Linked DNA regions of Drosophila melanogaster. The protein of the gene in region 1 interacts with the protein of each later gene in a pairwise test. Each region holds a gene or a part of one and is shown on either strand. Other genes may lie near its edges. The genes, in order: Ten-a and Rgk3.

Region 1 (10,622 bases):
CCAAAATCAAATGAAATTAGCGTCGCAGTCGGTTCCGAGATGATTTCAAGATTGTATGCGACAGATATATACATACATATATATATATATATACTAGACAGTGGATAGTAGACGATGCGGCGATGGGCGGTCACAAGTTAATTAAAAGTGAAGTCAGCACTGAAATTAGTTAATTAATATTAAATTCAATTTGAGGCGTCGGGCCTGGTACAATTGAGTTATCAAACGAGCGCCTCGGGTCTTCCGTTTTCGCGCCGAACGTGACACTATTAAAATGAAAGGAATGCCCAATGTCCTTTCCACTGTAAAATGAGGAACGTGTTCGCCGGACTCATGAATCTCATTTGGTTGTAGAATAAACGGAGAAGGACCAAAAAAAAAAAAGGAAGTAGGTGGACAATCTCATGATCGCAAATTAAGCTGTTGGCTAAAAAAAAAACGTTACACACACTTTTGTGCGTTTATCAGCAATCAGCCGCTTAAATTTAAGCGGATGTTAGGAAATTTGGAAATAGTCTAAGCTTTTCCCTAATCTGTCTTACAAATTGTGTGTAAAGCATATTAAATCACCTATTTATGCTGCAACTTTTCAAGCACAATATGCGAAAGTTTAGCAGCTGATTGAAAACGATTACCATTCGTTTAGCTGTAAGGTTCAAATTTTCCGGTACAATGTGGCACACATCTCACCGTACATTTGTTAGAAATGCACATTTGCAATTAACCAATGAACCGTAAGGATAACTAGCATCTCGAAACCATCAATTAGGATCGCTCACTTGCGGTTACCTCGAAAGCATCCCTCATCTTCGCCAAAAGTTCACATATACCATATAGGTATAAATATATATATATATTATATATACATTTGGGCACACATCCATTTGCATTCCATGGCCATGAATCTGTAGGCGAGGTTCATGCCTAATCTTATTTACCCTTGCAGCCCGAATGTATGTAAATTTTGCAATTTGAGCACGATAACAAGGTTGATTGCGGCCGATGGCTTAATTCCCATTACACAGAAATGGGTACTAATAAAAAAAAAAAAAAAAATAAGGAGGAAAATTAAAATGAAAATGTCCGAGTAAAAAGTGAAATGTTTACAACCATTGAGAGCATGCTATCTGCAATCTGAAATCTGCGTGCAAATGCACTTTGCTTGTAGAACAAAATCAGTGCCGGCAAAAGATCCATTAAAGAAATCCCCATGCTAAATCCAAGGTAGAAACTCAGCACCTTCAGGGGGGATGGGGGGAATCTGCCACGAGTACCGTGCAGACTGAGCCACAGGCTAAGCTAGCATAAAAAGTGGCATCTCGCAACGTGCAACATCGGTCGGCTATATGCAACATCAGTAAAAGTCTGCGGCAACATCAAGAGCTCAGACACAGAAGCACATAGAAAATACTACAGAAAATCTACCAATTTCTAAGAAACATTTTAACAACCAATTAATTTCAAATGGAAAATCATTGCAACCAATGCAGCGTAATTAAGATATACCAATTAAAGTTCATTTTTCTGCAAGAATATATCTTCAATCACAAGAATCTTACTACTAAAATTTAACAGAAAATTGTAAAACAAATAAAACAAAAGAAAAAAAATAAACTAATTGCACACACAGAATAATTAGTAATTTTTTTACAAAAAATAATTAGCAGCACAATCATCAATTGTTGAAAAACACAAGATATTCCATCCGACTTTAAGGGCAATTAACTCGAAAACAATAAGCCAAACACAAGTGGCATGTAAAACAACAAAATAAAAACCAATTAAAATTGTTGCAAGCATAAAAGAAAAAAATATTATATAAATGTTTTGCTTGGAATGCTTTTTTGAATCAAATGCAAATGTACAAAAAATATTTGTTTCTAGTTGCAATAAAAACGAAATGCAAATGTGACTTAAACTGATGCAACAATAACATCTTTAATTTTTTTGATAGAAGAACAAATGGCGTAATTGGATATTAAAGAGTTCGCAAATACTTTTACATAGATACAAAAATCATAAAATATATACATAAATATGCAACTTTTAAAACTTAAGAAGACCATATCTGTCATAAATGCAGCAGCCAGCTTAAATTAAATCAATGTTAAATAAAAATGTATGCATTAAACATGTAAATAGTTTTCATTCTGATGCTACAGAATAAGCAGAATGTACGTAAAACAGAAGAAAATCGATGGCAGGTAAAAAGCGGAACAGAATTCCTAAAATTCACTAGGTAAAATATAAATAAATAAAACAAACTTTGAACGAGCAGCTGCAATGTAAACAAAACTAAGTCCCATTGTCTACCATTTGCTGCAATTATTATTTAATTTTTTTCCGCTTACACGTTGCACTGTTTTCCTGTGCATTTTTCCATTTTTGCTTTGTGGCAAAAAAAACAAAAAAAAGGAAACAAACTGGGCTGCACTCGATGTTGGTTGTCAAAGGAGTGGAGCGGCCAATCTGCAATCCCCGATCCCCAATCACCAATCCCCTCCAGAAAGTGCCCAGTCCAGCCACTGTCAATGCATTGAGCATTTTTGCCTCGCTCAAGTTGTCCGTGGCCCCGATAGTTATCATAAATATTTAATTTTCATTTTGCTAGCAATTCTCCGCCCGAGGAGGCAATTCGCCCACTCAACTGGCATCTCTTTATTTCCCGGGCTAATTGAGAGATTATGCAGAAGGCCGGGGTAAATATGAAATTTGTATCTCAATCAAAGTCGGCAACTGCAAGAGCTGCAAGTCGTCAGATCAGAACTTATTTCCATTTCAAATTAGTTTTGCCATCTTGCGAAAGTGTGTGTTTCATTCAGTCAGTTTTAGTTTCATTTTAGTCGCAATATTGATTTAAATACCAAATGCACAGGCATATTTATGCACATATTTTTGTTTTGTTTTAATTACCGCATATACCGGAGCATTTAAAGGCAAAATTTCAAAGGGCACAGTAGGACGAACATTTGTTTGCTTTAATTATAAATAATATTTAATCTAGATATTTCATTCGAATGGTCACCCCAAAATGGTCGGTTGTAAGCCGTGTTATTATTATTATTACTTGTGTTTATTATTATTATTGGCATTTTTGTGCCTCTGCTGCTGTTGTTGCTGCTTTTGCTGCTGCGGCTTAAGTGCATAAATAAACAGATTTTAATTTAATTATTATGAAATTCATTGGCCCCCGGCCGGGCTCCATTATTAACGGCATTCGATTCGGCATCCGATGATGATGGAACTGCCACCGGAGGATACCGATACCTCCAACTAGGATGTGGTGCATAAATCTGGTATCGTGTAAAATGCTAAATATATCGCCGGCCAAAAACTAGCACACACACACACACACATTCATTCATTCAGTTTGACCTTATTAGCTGCAGTTGACCAAATCGAATTAGACCCCTGGGTGAAAGCGTTTGGCAAACAAATTTTTGATTCGTTTACAGCGGCCATGGCAATTGTCCAGCTCGGTTGATTCCCGGAGTTTCGAAAGGTTTATAAATTAACAGGGGAAAGCTGCGAATATCTTTTCATTGCTAAATATGAAAGACATCAGTGGAAGTATTTACATGCCATTGCAGATTATATTAATCCAAAACTATTAAAATCCCATTTCAATAATCCGATAATAAGAGTGTAACGATTATGTTCGGTAATCAGTTTTATTAAGTGACATATTTTTAATTATTACTTTTTAAGTGCTATTCATTTACAGCAATTTCTTTTTAATCACGGCATTTATAATAGTTTATTGTCAATCAATGCTGTAATTTGCACTTAACAACCTCAAACGAAAGCGATAGTGAAACTTAACTACAGCAAGCCGAAGTTTGTATACGCTTTCGTTGATATTTAAAGCGATTAATCCGATATGAAGTCTATAGAATTATATGTTAACGGTTACTTACCCTTTGATGTTGATATTCAAATAAAATTAAAAAGATGACCAAACAAATATAAACTGCTTAAAAGTAGTCGAAATTAATATATAAAACTGTTAGTTTGGCGGATAGTTATGCATATTCAACAGCAATATTTTGTGCTATTTCTGAATTAGATAATGTTTTCAAAGTCACCCAGCAAATGTTAATTAACCAAGAAACCAAGAATGGAAATATAAAAATTAGAAAAACTCCCTAATTGGTAACGCACAAGTCTCCAATGAAGTTGACAATTTGAATGGAAATGTGAAACCCATTGAATTTCCATCAACCTATCAAATCACAAGCCCATTTTTGGTAATACGACAGATTGAAGTGCTCATGTCATGTATCCCTTTTGCTCCGGGCGGCAAGTGTTTAATGTTCCATTCTCGTATTACAAACTAAGCAACCAGCTAACCCAAAAAATGATCAATGTCCCCAACGGGCTTCGAGGAAACCGGAGATCGGATGTAAATATTTCCATAAAATTTAACCAATTATTTGACGAAAACTTACCTTTCCCAAAAACGAAACGGATATGACACGTGTGATTTGATTTCGGCTTGTAGCGGTGTTTTTTCTTTCTTTCCTTCCTTTCTCTACTTTCTTTTTTTTATTTGTATGGGCGCTTTTAATATTCACCGGCCATTGCCATTCAATTTGTTTGCCATTTATCAATGGTAACCGAATACCGACATTGCACACACTCTCCCTCTCTCCATCGGATATATTCACTCACACACTTTTCACTAGGGTCTTGCCTTGGTTATTTGCTGATTTTATTATATTTATTCCATACAAATCGAACCCAAAACAAACAACAAAAATTGAAAAAAAAACAAAGTCGAGCAAGTAGCGCAGTCGATTAGAGTGACCAAAAAAAAAAAATGAATTCAATTCGCGCGAAGAAGTCGACTCACAACAAACAAGAGGAAGACACCACGAAAGCGACGAAAGCGACGAAACAACAGACACCACTATTTCACTTCTGTGGGTCAAATAACACGCATACGCACCGTGGACCGTTAGCCGCCTAAAATACGCATACGCACCGTTGGACCGCTGCTCGACAACTGACGGCGCCGCCGATGCGAAACCGTGCAGATACCGACGTTAACTGCACTCGCCGATATTTTGGCCAAGCGAATGAATCCACACGCACATCACCCCGCATCAACCCGACCGCCTAGTATCCAAAGTTTACCAAGTTCCGAGTTGGTGTTTTGTATGTTTTCCACGACCCACGACAACGCACGAAGTACACCATTCGGTTTTCGGTCTATCGGGCCTTTTGCTTTTTGCCACCTAGCCACGACACGAAAAGCCAAACACATTCGGCTCTTAGCCATCGTATCCAGTGTGCGCATGTCACTAGGCCAAGACAAACTCATCCAGGGCCAACTTACTCAGGCTAAGCCACAAAATTGGCGCGCAATTTCAATTAGTTGATGTCCCTCACACATCCATCCATTGCCGCAATTTCTTTCGCACTAACCCCCCCCCCCTTTTTTCTCGTCTTAGCCGGCTTTCCCAGCTTTTCCGGCTTTTCCGGCCAGACGTCTGTTGCTCTCAACCAGCCACCAAAAGTTTTTGGCGGTTTCGGCCAAAATTTCCGACCCTGTTTATCGACGCTTAGTCGATTTAATTTGGCATTTAAAGTGGACACGTTCAGGCACTCAATGATGAAATCTGATCATCACAAGTTGCCGCCAAAAACGAGCGACGGAGTTATTCATCCGGCTTCATTTATGGTTAAATAGGGCGCACAAAAGTGCACTTACAAAAATGATTGCATTGTGCGGTAAGTGCAAGTGCTTCTCTCTTAAGTTTTCGAAATTCAAGAAATTAAAGGAAGAATTAAATTAGTGAAAAATATATTCGACAGAAACAATATGAGTAAAATAAAAATGTATTTTATAAAAAAAAGATTATGAATTGTAGTAATTTTAATTACCTTTATAGCTATTAATAAATTATAATTTAATATTTGGATTCAATATTAAATTAAAGTTTGTTTTGCTAAATGTTAACTGTAAGTAAAACTATTTTTTTTTTTAATTTCAGCCAGTGTTCATTGGCAAGTGTCTTTTTTTTTAGCATGTATGATGGGGGTTTTCATCCACGGTAGCTCTTTTTTTGGTTAATGAAAAGTTGCCACTGATGGCGGCCAAAGAAAATGCAGAAAAGCCGGCAAACTGGCTTAGTGGATGGCGTGGGTGGCGCCAGTGGAAAGTGCTGGGGTAATGGGAAAAGCAGACGGCTGAAGGAGCTGCCCCAGCTGACAAAGACCAGGCTAAAACAAAGGACCCCACAATGGCTGACAATGGCAACTTGTCGAGGTTTTGGGGTTTCTGCGGGGGTTCATCGTGGGTTCCATGATGGCTTCGGGGAAATTCCGGGGGCACCGTACGCTAGCTGGAAAAAAGAACAACTCTCACAATAGACGCGACCCCCCCCCCCCCCCCCCGGCTATCCCCGCATTTATCCACCACATGGCGTGAAATGTGGCATTCAAATAAAGGAACACTCTAATAAGGCTTCCTTTTGTTATTGATAGAAAAAAAAGAGCGAGAGAGCGCCAGCTACCGAGGAGGAAGTGCAGCGAAAAGTGGGGGTCACGGATGGTGCCGAATACCCACCTCCTTCTCCGCCCGGAAAAGTCGCATCTGCCAAGTGTGAACTACTAGTGCTGGTAGGGCAAAAAAAAAAAAAAATTGAAACAAAAAAACTGGAAAGTAATTTCCGGCTGCGCGTGACGAAATCAGTAGAGGGGTTAATAAAAAGAAAATAGCACAAAAAGTGCTGAATGAAAGAAACAGTAACTGGTTAATAACTGGCAGCAGCGATTTGACGACGAGCCAAGATTGCATCTGAATTTTGCCTGCCCTTCAAGTACAGTCCCAACAAAACTAACTTGTCATGACCATGCATGTGCACTCCGAACTTTAGAAACATAAATGATTTAAGTAGATGCACTCCGAACTTTAGAAACATAAATGATTTAAGTAAATCAAACACATCGAATTCCATCAAAACATTTTCCGAAATTGTTCAATGCAGTTGTGTTGACTCTGAAGTGACATTATTTAAGTTTTTTTTTTTAACCAGAAAGTAGCTGATTAGTTCCACGGGTGTCACGCAGGCTCTAATTGCAGCTCAATGCCGCCGGTTGGGACGCGTATCCAGTCGGGATTCGAATGCTGGCTACGGAAGGAATACAGGATGCGGGATGCAAAATTCAAAACCAGCCAGCTTCACACACACACACACAAGTCGCTTGACAATATTCCCCAAACAACAATGGCTGGCGGTGGCAAATGCCAAATGCTAGCTCAACCCCGATACCTGGAGCATTTTGAGTAAGCGCAAAATTTTGGAGGTTTTCCCACCCTCGGAAAAGCTTTGTATGTGTAAGTGTGTGTCTGTTCCTCGATTGCTCATAATGTGCTACTAATGCTAATAAGCATTTATGTGTCTGTGCCCCAGGCATCGTATGCATCAAGGAATCACCCATTGTCATTGGGCATTCCATAAAGAAAAAAAAACGAATTCAATAATCATCAGATATATGTATACTTTAAATATATGGGCTTTTAAATTGAAATCAAGCATTTCAAACATGTTTATTGGTTTACGAACATTTCTGCGGTTTTCGTTTTAAATACCCTAATACAAATTAGATTCATTTTGCACTCTACCAAACAAGCAAGTTGAACTCCTGATTTCTTAAGACCCTTGGAGCGAAACTGAATGCGGGAACATCGCATCGGGTGATTCATAATCCCCTTTAGTCGAGACAGACGCAGTCGGTGACTATGACTTCGGTACGAGTTTCACTGCGACTTTGGCAACGGTCCTGACTAAGGACTCCGGCGGAGGCTGCAAACGGGTTTTGCCGTAAACACGCTTCCAAATTACATTTAAGTAACACTCTCTGAGCTACAGCCGAGGTCATCGAAATGGCACCACCTGGTTTAACCATCTAACTTAATTTCTTCTCTCACCTACATATTTTGAGCATAACATTGGAAATAATTACCCAAATATGGAATGTTATGCCTCGTTGAGTTTGTTTTTTAATTTCCAATCGATCTGCATTCAAGTTTGGGAATTCTAGGATTTTTCAATTTTTGGCAAATTTTGATGATGTTACCCCTTTCAAAAAATGCGATAATTTGGCCAAAAATTAATTTTACAAAATCAATTAAAAAGTGAAAGGGATGGTTAGTGTTGATTATAAGGAGTATAAAATGGTAATTCTTTTTGATGTGAGGCAATTTTTAGTCAAGTTATAGCCAAAAAAGCGAACTTGAAAACTGAGTTTTTTGCCAAAAATAGTTTCCAGATTTTTTGTGAAAAAAATATTCGGTATTTTGATCATAACATTGGAAATAATTACCCAAATATGGAATGTTATACATCGTTGAGTTTGTTTTTTAATTTCCAATCGATCTGCATTCAAGTTTGGGAATTCTAGGATTTTTAAATTTTTTGCTAATTTTGATGATGTTACCCCTTACAAAAAATGCAAAAATTTACCCAAAAACTAATTTTCCTAAATCCTTCAAAAAGTGATAGGGATCGTTAGCATTGGTAATTAGCTGCTCAAAACAGTTATTCTTTCATCTATATGACATTTTATAGAGAAGTTATGACGAAAATACCGTATGTAAAATCAAGTTTTTGGCAAAAGCGATTTTTCCGAATTTTGGTCATCAAATAATTCGTTTTTTTGCCACAACTTTAAAAATAATTGACTGAATATGGAATGTCATACCTCAATGAGCTCGTAATTAAATTTCCAATCAAACTGTGCCAAAAAATAGGAATTCTAAATTTTTGCCATTTTATGCAAATTTTGATGATGTTACCCCTTACAAAAAATGTGAAAATTTGGCCAAAAATTAATTTTACAAAATCCGTTCAAAAGTGAAAGGGGTTGTTAGTATTGGTTATAAGGAGTATAAAATGGTACTTCTTTTTGCTCTGTGACCATTTTTAGTCAAGTTATAGCCAAAAAAGCGAACTTGAAAATGGAGTTTTTTGCCAAAAATAGTTTCTAGATTTTTGGTGAAAAAAATATTCGGTATTTTGATCATAACATTGGAAATAATTACCCAAATATGGAATGTCATATCTCGTTGAGTTTGCTTTTTAAATTACAATCGATTTGCATTCAAGTTTGGGAATTCTAGGATTTTTCAATTTTTTGCAAATTTTTATGATGTTACCCCTTACAAAAAATGCGAAAATTTGGCCAAAAATTAATTTTACAAAATCAGGTTAACAGTAACAGGGGTTATTAGTATTGGTTATAAGGAGTATAAAATGGTAATTCTTTTTGCTCTGTGACCATTTTTAGTCAAGTTATACCCAAAAAAAACTCCAACAAAATATTGATTTTCTTGCGGAATTTTAGGCTTTTTCATTTTTTTTGCTAATAATACAAATTTTTAAGTTTGACTAGAAACGGACGAACTAGCAGCGTTTATATTTGCGCCTTTTTTAGGCGGAGAAGTGACAAGTTAAGGCATTTCCTAAACGAACCTACCCAACTTAACTCAGAATTATCTTCATCTTCTGCATTTAAATTCTCATTATCCTGCGAGTGAGAGATGAACTGAGGCAGTGTGCGAGCGAGCCAGATGGATCGGATGAGCGGGAGGGCGCTATGTAGTAATGATAATATATCTAATATGTGCGTGAGAGTGTCCTTCAGTGCTAGTGTGTGTGTGTGTGTGTGTGTGTGGGAGAGGCAACAACTGTGCACAAATTTGCGCTAAATAATTTAATTATAAGGGCATCAAAAATAACAGCGAAAGAAACCGAAAAGTAAAGTAAACAAAAGGATAACACAGCAAAAAAAAAAGTTTAAGGTTATATCATATGTTTTTTGATTTCATAAAAAATTTTTATAAGTTTTTATGAAATAAATATAATAATGGAAATATTGTTGAAAGCTAAACTAAATGTAAACATTTTTACAATTTTGTTCGAAAATCAAGTCAATTAAACTCATTTTACTTCTACCAAGTTTTAAACACAAATTCACTTTTTGGACCTCAAAAAGGATATATTTTGAGGTGAGGAAAAGCAGACGCGGAATGCCGATGCCTCGAACAATGTTAGTTTTCGGTTTTTTTTTTTTTTAAATTCAACCCGGCGTCCCTTTGTAAAGCCCACCCACTAACGTCATTAAAAATTTTGCACATAATAGTTTATGCGTTGTTGTTGTTGCTGGTGTTATCGTATTACGTAATAGTTTCAAGCGCGCTGCCATGCGCTAATTAATGACGTAAAATATTTGCCCATCATCATCATCATCATCATCATCCCGCTGAAAAGGGGAAACACCGGGAGAAAATGCGGAAAACAAAAGTGTTGGGCCCTGCCATCCTGCAGCTTGTCGTCAATTATGAAAACTTTTTTAGCACGCCCTCTACCAAGTGTATGGGTGTGTGTGTGTGTGTGTTAGTGTGTTGGTGGAAAATTCTCAATGTGTGTGTGCCTCTCTGAATGTGTGTGCGTTCAGTTACATCCTCAACAAGTGTGTGTTGAACCAACCACCACCCAACCACCAACGAAATCCCTCATGAAATCCGCATTAACACACGAAGAGTGTGCCACCAAGTTGATCTTATCAAAAGCATTGCCTACTCTTAGGCGCTTCACAAGGATACACTTGCCAGG
Region 2 (10,422 bases), on another chromosome or scaffold:
AATACGTTACGAAGCACCGTTTGAATTTTACCTGTGACGCGCAGAAAAAGAGGGATAGAGCGCCCACCTGGCGAGCAAGAAACTCTACACAGCGGCAGAGAATCGCAGAGAGCGGTTTACCTGTGTTCACCTGCACGTAAAATAAATTTGTGGCATAATATCAATCTAAATCTTAAGACAATGTAATCGGAGTAATCAGAAATCAATATAGGATTATTGACTATGCTATAAGCACATATGTATACTATAAGTTTAAAATAATTCCGATATCTTCGCTTATCAGATCAATAACAGTTTTTTCTCAGTGTGTCGTTATCGCCGTAGCCGTCTCGAAGTTGTTGGGGTGAAGTTTTCCAGGTATTTGTGTTGTCATGGTGCAAATATAATGGCAAAAACAATTGGTCTAGACATGATATTTTGTATAGGTGCCTTTATTTTACAAACAAAAGATGATTTTCGACCAGTGTGGGAGGATTTGTCCTGGCAAATTATCCTGCCGTTTATTTATAACAGAAGGCGCGAAATTGGTATTTAAATTTGTTGGTGCGAGTCCTCGCTTTAGTCTCAGCAATGCTCGTGTCTTTGCTATGATGGGTTTCCCCTTTTTTAGACCACTGCAAATAACAGAGACAGAGACTGTTACCAACAGAACCAAGTCAAATTTAACAACTAGATGGCGCTATTCTACATCTACGTGTAGATTAACACATCAAACTGACAAAATTTAAATCTAACTGCTCAGACTTCTGAAAAAATTAAAGGATTTATTAATGGTAAGCAATATCCTAAGTTATATTCTTAGCATAAAAATTGGCATGTACTTACCAAAGAGAAAATAACAATAAACCAGAATTCAGCACTAAATTTAAGAGTAACTACAAAACTATAAACATATTTCGCCGGCTAATTGGCAGCCATAGCCATCACTCTTTTATCTTCCCTTTCCACATTTTTTTCGTTGCCCGCCGAAAAGTTGCATAAATCTGTAAAATTACCCAAACACTCGAAAGCTACACACACAGAAGGTTGAGTAATGCCCGCGATTCACACGGAGTGTGGCGAACAGGAAAATTGTAAATGAGGGCGGAAAATGCCAAGGGGAAAGTTAACCGAAAAGCGTAAATTTTCGGCGGCGAAGAATACGTCATAAAAACGATTTAACAACCGAATAAGCAACCGCAAAAGCGGAATGACAATGACTACGCTGTGCCCAACTCCTTGAATTTCTCCAATGCCACTTGGATACCTGCTGCTCTCCCTTCCACTTTTCCGGAAATGAAGCCGTCGCGGCGCTTAAAACAAAGGATGCGAAAAGGAAAATCCATCTGATGTTGGGTAATACCTGTTTCGTTATATGTATTACAAATCATTCATGCGGTTTCTGGGCGGCAAACCTCAAAGAGAGTATCTATCTATTGGCTGGCAAATAATTCTCCAGAGATAAATCTTTTCATTTCGCCTTTGACGGCTGCCGTTGAGGCAACTGCTTTTTTTTATGGCCTATCAACGAGCGTCTAATGCCGGCAATTAAAATAAACGACAGACAAGCGAAAGCTGCCTGCGGCCCAAGCTGCCTTAACTCATCCTGCAAAGGATTTGCAGTTGAATTGGAGGGTAAACGCCTTCCAGCTGCTAGAAAATGTGCGTTTAATGAAATTTTTATTCAATCAGCACAGCAACTTTTATGGCAAGACGACACACATAAAGGGAGGCTAACCTGTTGAGTTTATGATAAAGTGGCTGCCCTTCCTTTTACCCCGATCCCGAACGCAATCCCTATCCCGAAGTGCTCCACTTTTACAGCCTCCATTTATCTTACACTTTGCGCCACGCAACGCAACGCGTCGAGTGGAAGATGGAAGGGATTTCCCCGAGCGCTATGATGTTTGCTTAGTGCGGGATATGGAAATGGATAGATGGAAAATTCTAGTCGAAGGTTTTGACAGCTATTAGCTTAGTCCTGTTGATAAATATACTATAAAATTTAATATATATACAATACAATTGCATACCATATAAAAGAAACTAAATTTCTTTCAAAGGCCACCAAAAATTTGCCACCATTTGCAATGGAAATGGCTAAAGCAGAGACAAACTCATGAATATCATTAGCAACAGCTTCATTTTGTGAAACCAGTTGTCGACATGATTTTGTTTTCCCTCTTCCGGCTGAGCTCCTTATTATACACTTACCCACAGCCCTCGAGCTGCAATTAAGCGTTTGCGGCGTGGCAAGTTTTGGGCAAATTGTTGCCAAAAAAAAAACGAGCTCAAAGCGACCGACAAAGCCACAGCAGACAGCTGGCAAAGAGGTTCCCTTTTCCTTTTGGTTTTTGGTCACAACCCACCTCTTCCACCTTTTTTGGCCGACAGGTGTGCGCATTTCATTTGCATAGATTAGCTAGATTAAAGCGAAAGACGAGCGATACAAATCCTGAGTGCTATATTTGGTGGCAAGTCGCCACTTGGCGGCGGCACCGAAAGTTGCGATGCTCGGTCTCAATCCACCGTTTGTGGGTTAATTAAAAAGTTTTTCGAAATAAATTAACATAAATTCTCGTTAGCCGGCAAATCCGCGAAAATGAATTTTCTTCTAATTGACCAACACCTGAGGCTGTGCCGGCTTTTATCCTCCCTTCAATCGGCAGCAGCAACAATTGGCCTTTAAGCGCGAGCTTTAAACCACTTTTTTTTTGTCTTTCCTGTGAGCGCCAACTTAGCTTGGCCCGCTTTTTTATCTGCCAAATATTGATCGCATTAGTGAAAAGGCAGTGGGTTGGGTGGGCGTGGCCGGTTCGTCGGTTCGAGTTGAGCTTTTGCCCATGTGGGTCAAGTAAATCAATTGACAGCTCTTTCCGAACTTGAGCGAGGACAAAGGCAATCCATTGGTGTATTTGTGTGCGTTTCGCAGTATGGGTGTGTGCCACCTGGTTGCCTCTATAAATAAATCATGGCTTATGATAATGTGCCGCACAAGCACACACCCCATGTTGATAAGATATAGGCCATCGTACTCAACCACGTGGCAGGAGTCGCAACAATAACACAAACAGCCATACAGTCATCGCTACAAAAGTGTGTATATATATTATTAATTTTTACAATTAATGTTTCAACATAAATACGAATTTTAGAAAGTAACTGAATCAATTAGTTAAAGTTTGAGTACTCATACCACTCATATTTACATATTCACAGGTAATAATTAAGCTAATGATACTTTCTACTGTATTCATAGCATGAACCTTCGCCACAATAACAAAAACAAACAACATTTGACTTTAGTACAAGGGTTCCATTTGGTTGAGTTTTCCTTAAGCTTTAAGGACTTTTCCTTTTTCTTTTCCTGCCCGCCCTTTTCACAGTGTGCGTGTGTGTGTGTGTGTGCAATTCCTTCGTTCACTTAATCATCATAAAACTTGACATATTGTGACGTTACGACCAAGAAAAAAAAAAAAAAAAAAAATTTACCAAATTTTGCCCATATGCGATATGCGACGCTGATGGGATTTGTTTGCTTCGAGCGAAATTGTTTGCGGTCTGTGCGACAGTTTTGTCTGAAGATTAATTGCATTTCGCGCTGCAGCAGGTGCGTTTATTGTTGGTATCGCTATTTTTGGCACTTGCATTCACTGCATTTGGCAAATGTGTTTGGTCATTTGGATAATTGCAAATCGAGTCGAAGCGATCAGCTCGAAAGTGCTGCATGTCACAAGTATTTCCAAATGAGAAATGGTTGGAGTTTTGTCAACAGGAATACAGGATGCACCAAAAAGAAAAATTTGTATAAACAAAAACAAATTTATTTAAATATTTAAACAATTTTACGAGAATATAACATGAGTCATATAATTTCTTCGTTTGGTTTATGTAGTTTTTATTCAGCATTTAACGGCTGGAATTGTTTTCATATTTTTTTTGTTTCACAGTCCATAAAAACATATGCATTTACATATAACGTTTATAGCATCGTGTGCTAATTACTTTTTTAATTTTTTCTTAGCCAAAATGTAAATATATATTGGCAAATAAACCGCGAGCATGAGCAATGGGTAAAACCCCAATGTACTCAACCAAAATCGAAACATTAATAAAATGCCAAATAATGCTCGTCACAAATTCTAAATATTGCTTGGCTGTCAGCGATTTCGAATCATAAAAGAACCAACGGAAAACACAAGCTATAAACAAGGGAAAAACAAAACCGAAACAGAAGCAGAATCAAAATCACAATCAGAACCAAAACCAAAACAAAGGAACCAACAGAGAAAGGGTCAGGAAACAAAAAAGAATAGATTTAAACGTTGCAATCCCCAAAGCGCCTTGGCTGCCCCATATTTGCCGCCCAATTGCCAACCGCTAGCCACCCACTTTTCACTACCTTTTCCCACCCACTTTTCACTACCTTTTCCCAACAGCTTTTCCACCATCCTTGCGCTCCATTGATGGAACATTCAAAACAAAGTCAGCAGAGACAGCCGAAGATAAACAAAGCAAAGTCGTAAAGAAAAAATACAAACAATACAAATGGCGCGGCAAGTGGAATGAGGGGGGGAGTGAGTGGTTGGGCAGAGCAATGCGCTCGGAAAAGCTAACGGTGACGTGGCTGAGCTTTTCCGTGACGTCACAGTTGAAAGCGCCGAACCAACTGCCACACCGAACCGAGATGCGAACCAAACCAAACTGAACCAAAATCGCTTCAAACACTCGACGGCGCTCGCACGGATCGGATGTGAAAAGCGTTTGGAAAATCGCCCAGCGCTTCACGTATCGTTTCGTTTTCAGTTGGAAAACCGCGTTTGAAAATACGCCAACCACAATAACAGAATTAATCAAAACAATATAATATACTCAATATATATATTTATGCAATGTGTGCCTGCGATTCGTACACAAGTTTTGTGGTGGAAAATATTTGAAATCTAAAATATTTGAAAAAGAAAAATCGCATGTGCTTGTTTTTCGGTTTCGGATTCACTTCACAGCTGAAATCTATCTAAAAATAACGGAAAACAAGAAAAAAGAAAGTGAACAAGTGCACAAAATTATCTCGCTATATATATAAAAAGTGAGCCGCCATCACAATTTTCTTTTTATACCAATTATCGATCAAATACATAAGTAGTGCCATACATTTTCGCTGGACGCTGGAATTAGAATTAGTAACGCGCCGGGATAGTCGAAGGTGCCAACAGTCGAAATACAGGTTTGTTTTGATTAATTAAATTGCCTAATTGTAGTGTCGTGACTCAAATAGATAATTTATCACAAAAAAGTTGAGAGACCTTTTGGCGTAAGTGTCGTGTGGCCGGGCACTTTTGGCGTTTCCGGCAGCGGTTCGATTTGTTTACTTAATTCCCAGCTCCATTTCCCTTTTTGCCGCTTCCTTTTCGACGCAGGATAATCGGAAAAACCTTAAAGAAACAAAAGCAGAACAGAAAAATCACTCATACGCCGCGTTGGCCTGCACATTAAGTATTCAACGGCAAAAAGTCAGCAGCCTCCATCGGTTTATAGTCCTTCCTTTCGAAATGGTTTTCTTTTTGCGAACGAATTCTTTGGGGTGCCATAAAGCATTGCACTCGTTGACGAGGGGGGGAAATTGCTAAATAACAATCAATTCGGGCAGTGTAACAAAAGATAAATGGATTTTCGACTGCAAGCGGCAATGCAAGAGCCTATAAAATAAATAAAATACAATTTAATCAGAAGTCATGGCAAGGCTGGTGGAATATTCCCGATAATCGAGCTGTAAAAACTCCATTGGGACGGGAAAAGCCCTTAAATGTCGTTGAAATAAATTTACAGAAAAGCCCCAAGGGAATGTGGGTAAAAAAACGAACAATTTGTGGCTAAGTCGCAGCGTAACTACGAATGCAAATGAAAAACTTGATTGAAATGTTGTTTAGCTAGCTAATGTTTTCATAATTACATACCCATGTAATTAATTTTCCTACTTTTCAACCGCTTTTGAACTTTTGGTTACAGTAATTACATTTTCCTGGAATTATGTGGCATGTTTGTTTTTCATATACATGCAACTTTACTCGTATGCAGTTTCATGTTTCTGCAGCTCATCATTCCGTTCTTTTTTTTTTTTGTTCACTTTAAGCCAAATGTCAATGCACTATATACTTATATATATATATATATCTTGACAGACAAAAAGAAGGGGCAACATTTTAGTTATTGCCACATAGACTGGACTGCATCAGATAGCATTAAATTGCTGGTCACTCGCAATCAGCGAAAACAAGCGAAACTGAATGGAGCAAACAAAGAGCAGTTATTGCGGGCAATCATTAGTGATACAAATCGCCGAAACAATTCCCCGGAGATCTGGAACCTAATCAGGACAGTCCATGACCACAATTCGCAATCGGAGGAAACGTAAATGTAGCTGCAGTGCGGCATTTTGATTTCAATTCACTGTTTTTCGAATGTGTGTGCGATTGCTCCTGCTCCCGCTCCTGCTCCATCTCGAGCTACTGCACCCAATTGGCCCCCGGCCAATTAAAGCAAAGTGTCTGGCACCATTGGCACGCGACTTCCTGGCCACGCCCCCGGTGCAAAGGATCCGCATGGAATGGAGCCACAAGCACACCCGCATACGAATGAAAGTGGAGGCACGGACTGCTTTTATGGCAAATCAAATTAACAACTAATTCCATTAGAGTTTGAGCAAGAGAACAGCCACCACTAATTGCAGTAGGTAGGTAGGCAGGCAGGCAGGCAGGCAGAGGACGCCCATCTGGTCATAGCCAAATTCGTAGCTCTTGGCCGAAATGGATTGGCCAGATTGTCCCCCTAGGCCACTGAGGGTAAAAATATTCCAAATTCAATTAAAAGCACTGCACTGCACTGACTACAACCATGAAGTTCAGCCACCAGAGCCCAACAGTCTGGGAACAAAGGTAAGTTCCTGAAAGCGTTTTGCACCTGCACCTGGCATCAGGGACATCGGTGGCAAAGGACCGTGCCTCTGCGGCTCTGGGGCTGAATTCGGGTTTCGACCTGGTCGCGGCATTGTCCACCGCCTCCACGGCCATCCCGTTATCCGGCTTTATAGCCCAACACCCCCGGCACTTGGCCCCCAAAAATGTCGTCGCCCCTGTCATTGCTTTTTGGACTTTTTACGCCCGGAAAAGCAATGAACATGACAGCTTCGTGTTCCTATTGCTGCACTGGCGAGAAAAGGGTTGCCGTAAGTGGAAAATATAATCATTTATTTAACCGCTTACATGGTAAAAAACGCTCCAGTAACAAGTGAGAGAAAAAAAAAGAGTTTAGTCTTGACTAATTGAATGAAATCAAAGTCTGCTCCAAATACCTTAAATAAAATTGATACTAATTATTGTCGGCTTTTTAAAGCAAGAGTGATTTAATTATTTTACCATATTTCTCGAGAGCTAACCCCTTTTTTTTTGCCGTGCACAACACCCGTTTTACTTCAGCAGAAAAACGTGACTGAGCCCAGAGTGCCAGTGACAATTGGGCAGCAAATTGGAGCAGGAGCCAAGTGGCTGCGATGTCAGTGAAGTGGGTGGCACATTTCCGCTGAATAACTCCTCCTCAGCCAGACACAACTAACAAAAATATTTATGCACACACTTAAAATGCTTCCAGCGACCAAAAGCAACCAACTCCAAACCCTAACTCAAACCCAAACCCAAACCAAAACCGAGCCAAACAAACAAACAGCAAGCAGTTCAAATGCGAATAAATTCCTGGCTAGCTTAACTTTTTATTCATTTTCCTATGTATTTCCCTGGCGGCAGCCACTTCCTCCCAATTCCACCCAGCTTGCTTTGATGGACATTGAGAACACTTCCAGCAGGATTTGCCCCCCCCCCTTGTTTTTCCCTTTCCTCGGCGAACATAATTGCAACTGTCTGGGTCAGCAGTGTCCATGCAAAGTGAATGGCATAAAGAGTTGGAAAATCTGATAGTTGCTAAAAGAAAAAGGAGGCGCCATTGATTCCAGTCAAATAGTTTCGAATGGAATCACTGGAGTAGAAGAATAATTCTGTGTCAGCCAAGAGGTTGGTTAATTTGAGCATAATCTGCGAAGTTAGCAGAGATTAGCTAAATTCCATAACCTCTTTGTTACTACATACGGATTTCATTTAACTCACATAGCGCAGCCAAATATTTCCTCTCAATTATTCACTTCCAAAGGCATTTTTCAGTTGGCTTAGCAGAGCTAACAAAAGAAATTCCTCGAATGGCCGTAATAAAATCGAACAAAGACCATGTGAAATCAAATGCTAACCAATTCGGGCGCTTCGGGTGAGGAAAAAAAGGAAAATCGCAAACTTCCTCGTTCTATTTCCGTGCCCAAATTGCCGCTCAACAGATGCCAAAGGACATTTCCCCGATAGTTAATTATGACACACACTTCAAAGTGCCGCAATTATCCTGTCGCAAACTAAATGAAGTGAATTTTTGTGTAAACATCTGCGCCGGCGGCCAGACTCTTGGCTTGATTTGAATCTAAATTGAGAATAACAAGCCATCGTGTAAGACCCCCAATGAATGCCACTTGAAGTAAACAGCGGGCGGCAGCCAAAGGTGGAATAAACGGAATAAACACACACACACACACCAGACACACACAACGCACACACACACACCCACACCCACATGTGTGTCATAATCACCGTGAAAGACGTCGAGTTTAAACCAAACAGACAGAGCGTTTTGAGGGGAACTGCGGAAAATGGCGGTGGAAATCTGGCGAAGAAGACGGCACATTAGGCGGCATAATCTGCCCTTGAGCTCCATTTTGCCCAACGATTTGGAAAATCTTTGTAGCAAAGTAAATTCTCGAGCAGATTTCGCTCATTCCCGCCGCCGTTCGCCTTTTTTCCGGCCAGCAATCCCTGTTTATATTCGGGCTCCATCTCATCGATTTATCGAACATTAAGCACGAAATCAAAGGAAACACTTGCGTGAAATAAACATAAACTAATGTCAAGCTGTTCGAAAATCTTTGGTCAACTGAAAAGAAATAAAAGTCGACTGGCTGAAAATCTTTGGTCAACTGAAAACAAATAAAAGTCGACTGGCTGACGGAATTTCATAATGATTTCGAAATATTTCGCTTCTTTTGCTTGAATTTTTTGAATCATAAAAATTCTTCGCACGCTTAGTCCACACTGTCACATTCAAATGCTGGATAATTTATTTAATCATTCAAATTTGTTTTCATCCCAGCTGAGAGCAGAAAGAGCAAATGAAATAGCTCGCTGCTAATAACATGCTGTCCCATTAGAGCTAAAACGACCAACGACAACGTGGCGTATGCGCAATAAAAACTTTTTGTTTTTATTTAGCTCATTTGCGTTGACAAGCTGCCAGCGAAAAATGTTAATAGTGAGCTAGCTATATATGCTCAAGCTTGGCCCAAGATCTCAGCCAGAAAGTGCTGCCACTAGCTTTGGATTAATGTCGCCAATCAGCGGCCAGAAATAATAGGAAGAGAATCCTACTCCTGATCCCACCACCCTTCCTTTGGGACAAGCAGCCGGCGCTTTGTGACCCATTGAAATTAATTTTGCAGCAACAGGTGCTGGCCATGAGCATAAACAAATACCCCTGTTGCAAGATGGGGCTCAAAGGGAAACATTAAACAAACGCTGCGAACATCCACTGACAACGACACGAGCTGCACTGCCACACGGATAACAACATGGACATCGGACAAGGACGTGGATGTGGATGTGGACATGTTGAAGGAAGCCGCTGGCACGCCAAACAAACTCGCACACAAAGGAGGCGTGGCTCAAGGTCATATGCTGGACAAGATGAAATCGAGCGTTTCCTGGCGGATAAAAAAATGTACGCATTAGTTGGCTAATAGGCAACTGCATTCTATACGAACTTTAATGTGCTTTAAAGGGGAATATTTCCTGAATCAGCACAAATAATCACGTTAGCTGCACATCTATGTCGATTGTGGATTTATAAAACATACTAAGCTGAACATACTAAATTTTAAATCAATTTATTCTCGACCGCAATCAACTTTCATTTAAATCAAATCAAATTTGCAGTTTCAGCTAAATGCTTGTGATGGTTTCACCTTTGTTTTAGGCAGATGAATTGCCAACCTTGAACCACCTACTTTCCAGGCTAAAAAAACAGAACCCTACCCCTTTCCGCGCCATATAATCCTTATCTGTTGACACTTTATCGGGGATTTTATTTTTTGTTGTTATTTTTTTGTAGGGTTTATATTGGTAGGCCGAAGCAACCATTTTTTGGGCTTATTTCTGTGATAGCCTACGTTGCCTGGAACCGAGCACAGCTGTCATCATTTGGGTGGCCTGATTAGCCGGGCGCAGAAAACGCTGAAGCGAAAATATTCATGTTAATAACTAGCAACAGGCCAACCGATAAGAGTGGGAGCGAAATTTTGGC

What was found.
Region 2: the proteins of Ten-a (region 1) and Rgk3 interact in a two-hybrid assay, tested with the Drosophila melanogaster proteins (one large-scale study listed by BioGRID).

The regions. Positions count from the first base shown.
Region 1 is NC_004354.4:12,122,741-12,133,362, reverse strand, and holds the start of Ten-a (tenascin accessory), read right to left. Parts: upstream 5,078-10,622; 5' UTR 4,449-5,077; intron 1-4,448.
Region 2 is NT_033778.4:21,251,098-21,261,519, forward strand, and holds the start of Rgk3 (Rad, Gem/Kir family member 3), read left to right. Parts: upstream 1-4,700; 5' UTR 4,701-5,206; intron 5,207-6,161; exon of another isoform or gene 6,162-6,914; intron 6,915-10,422.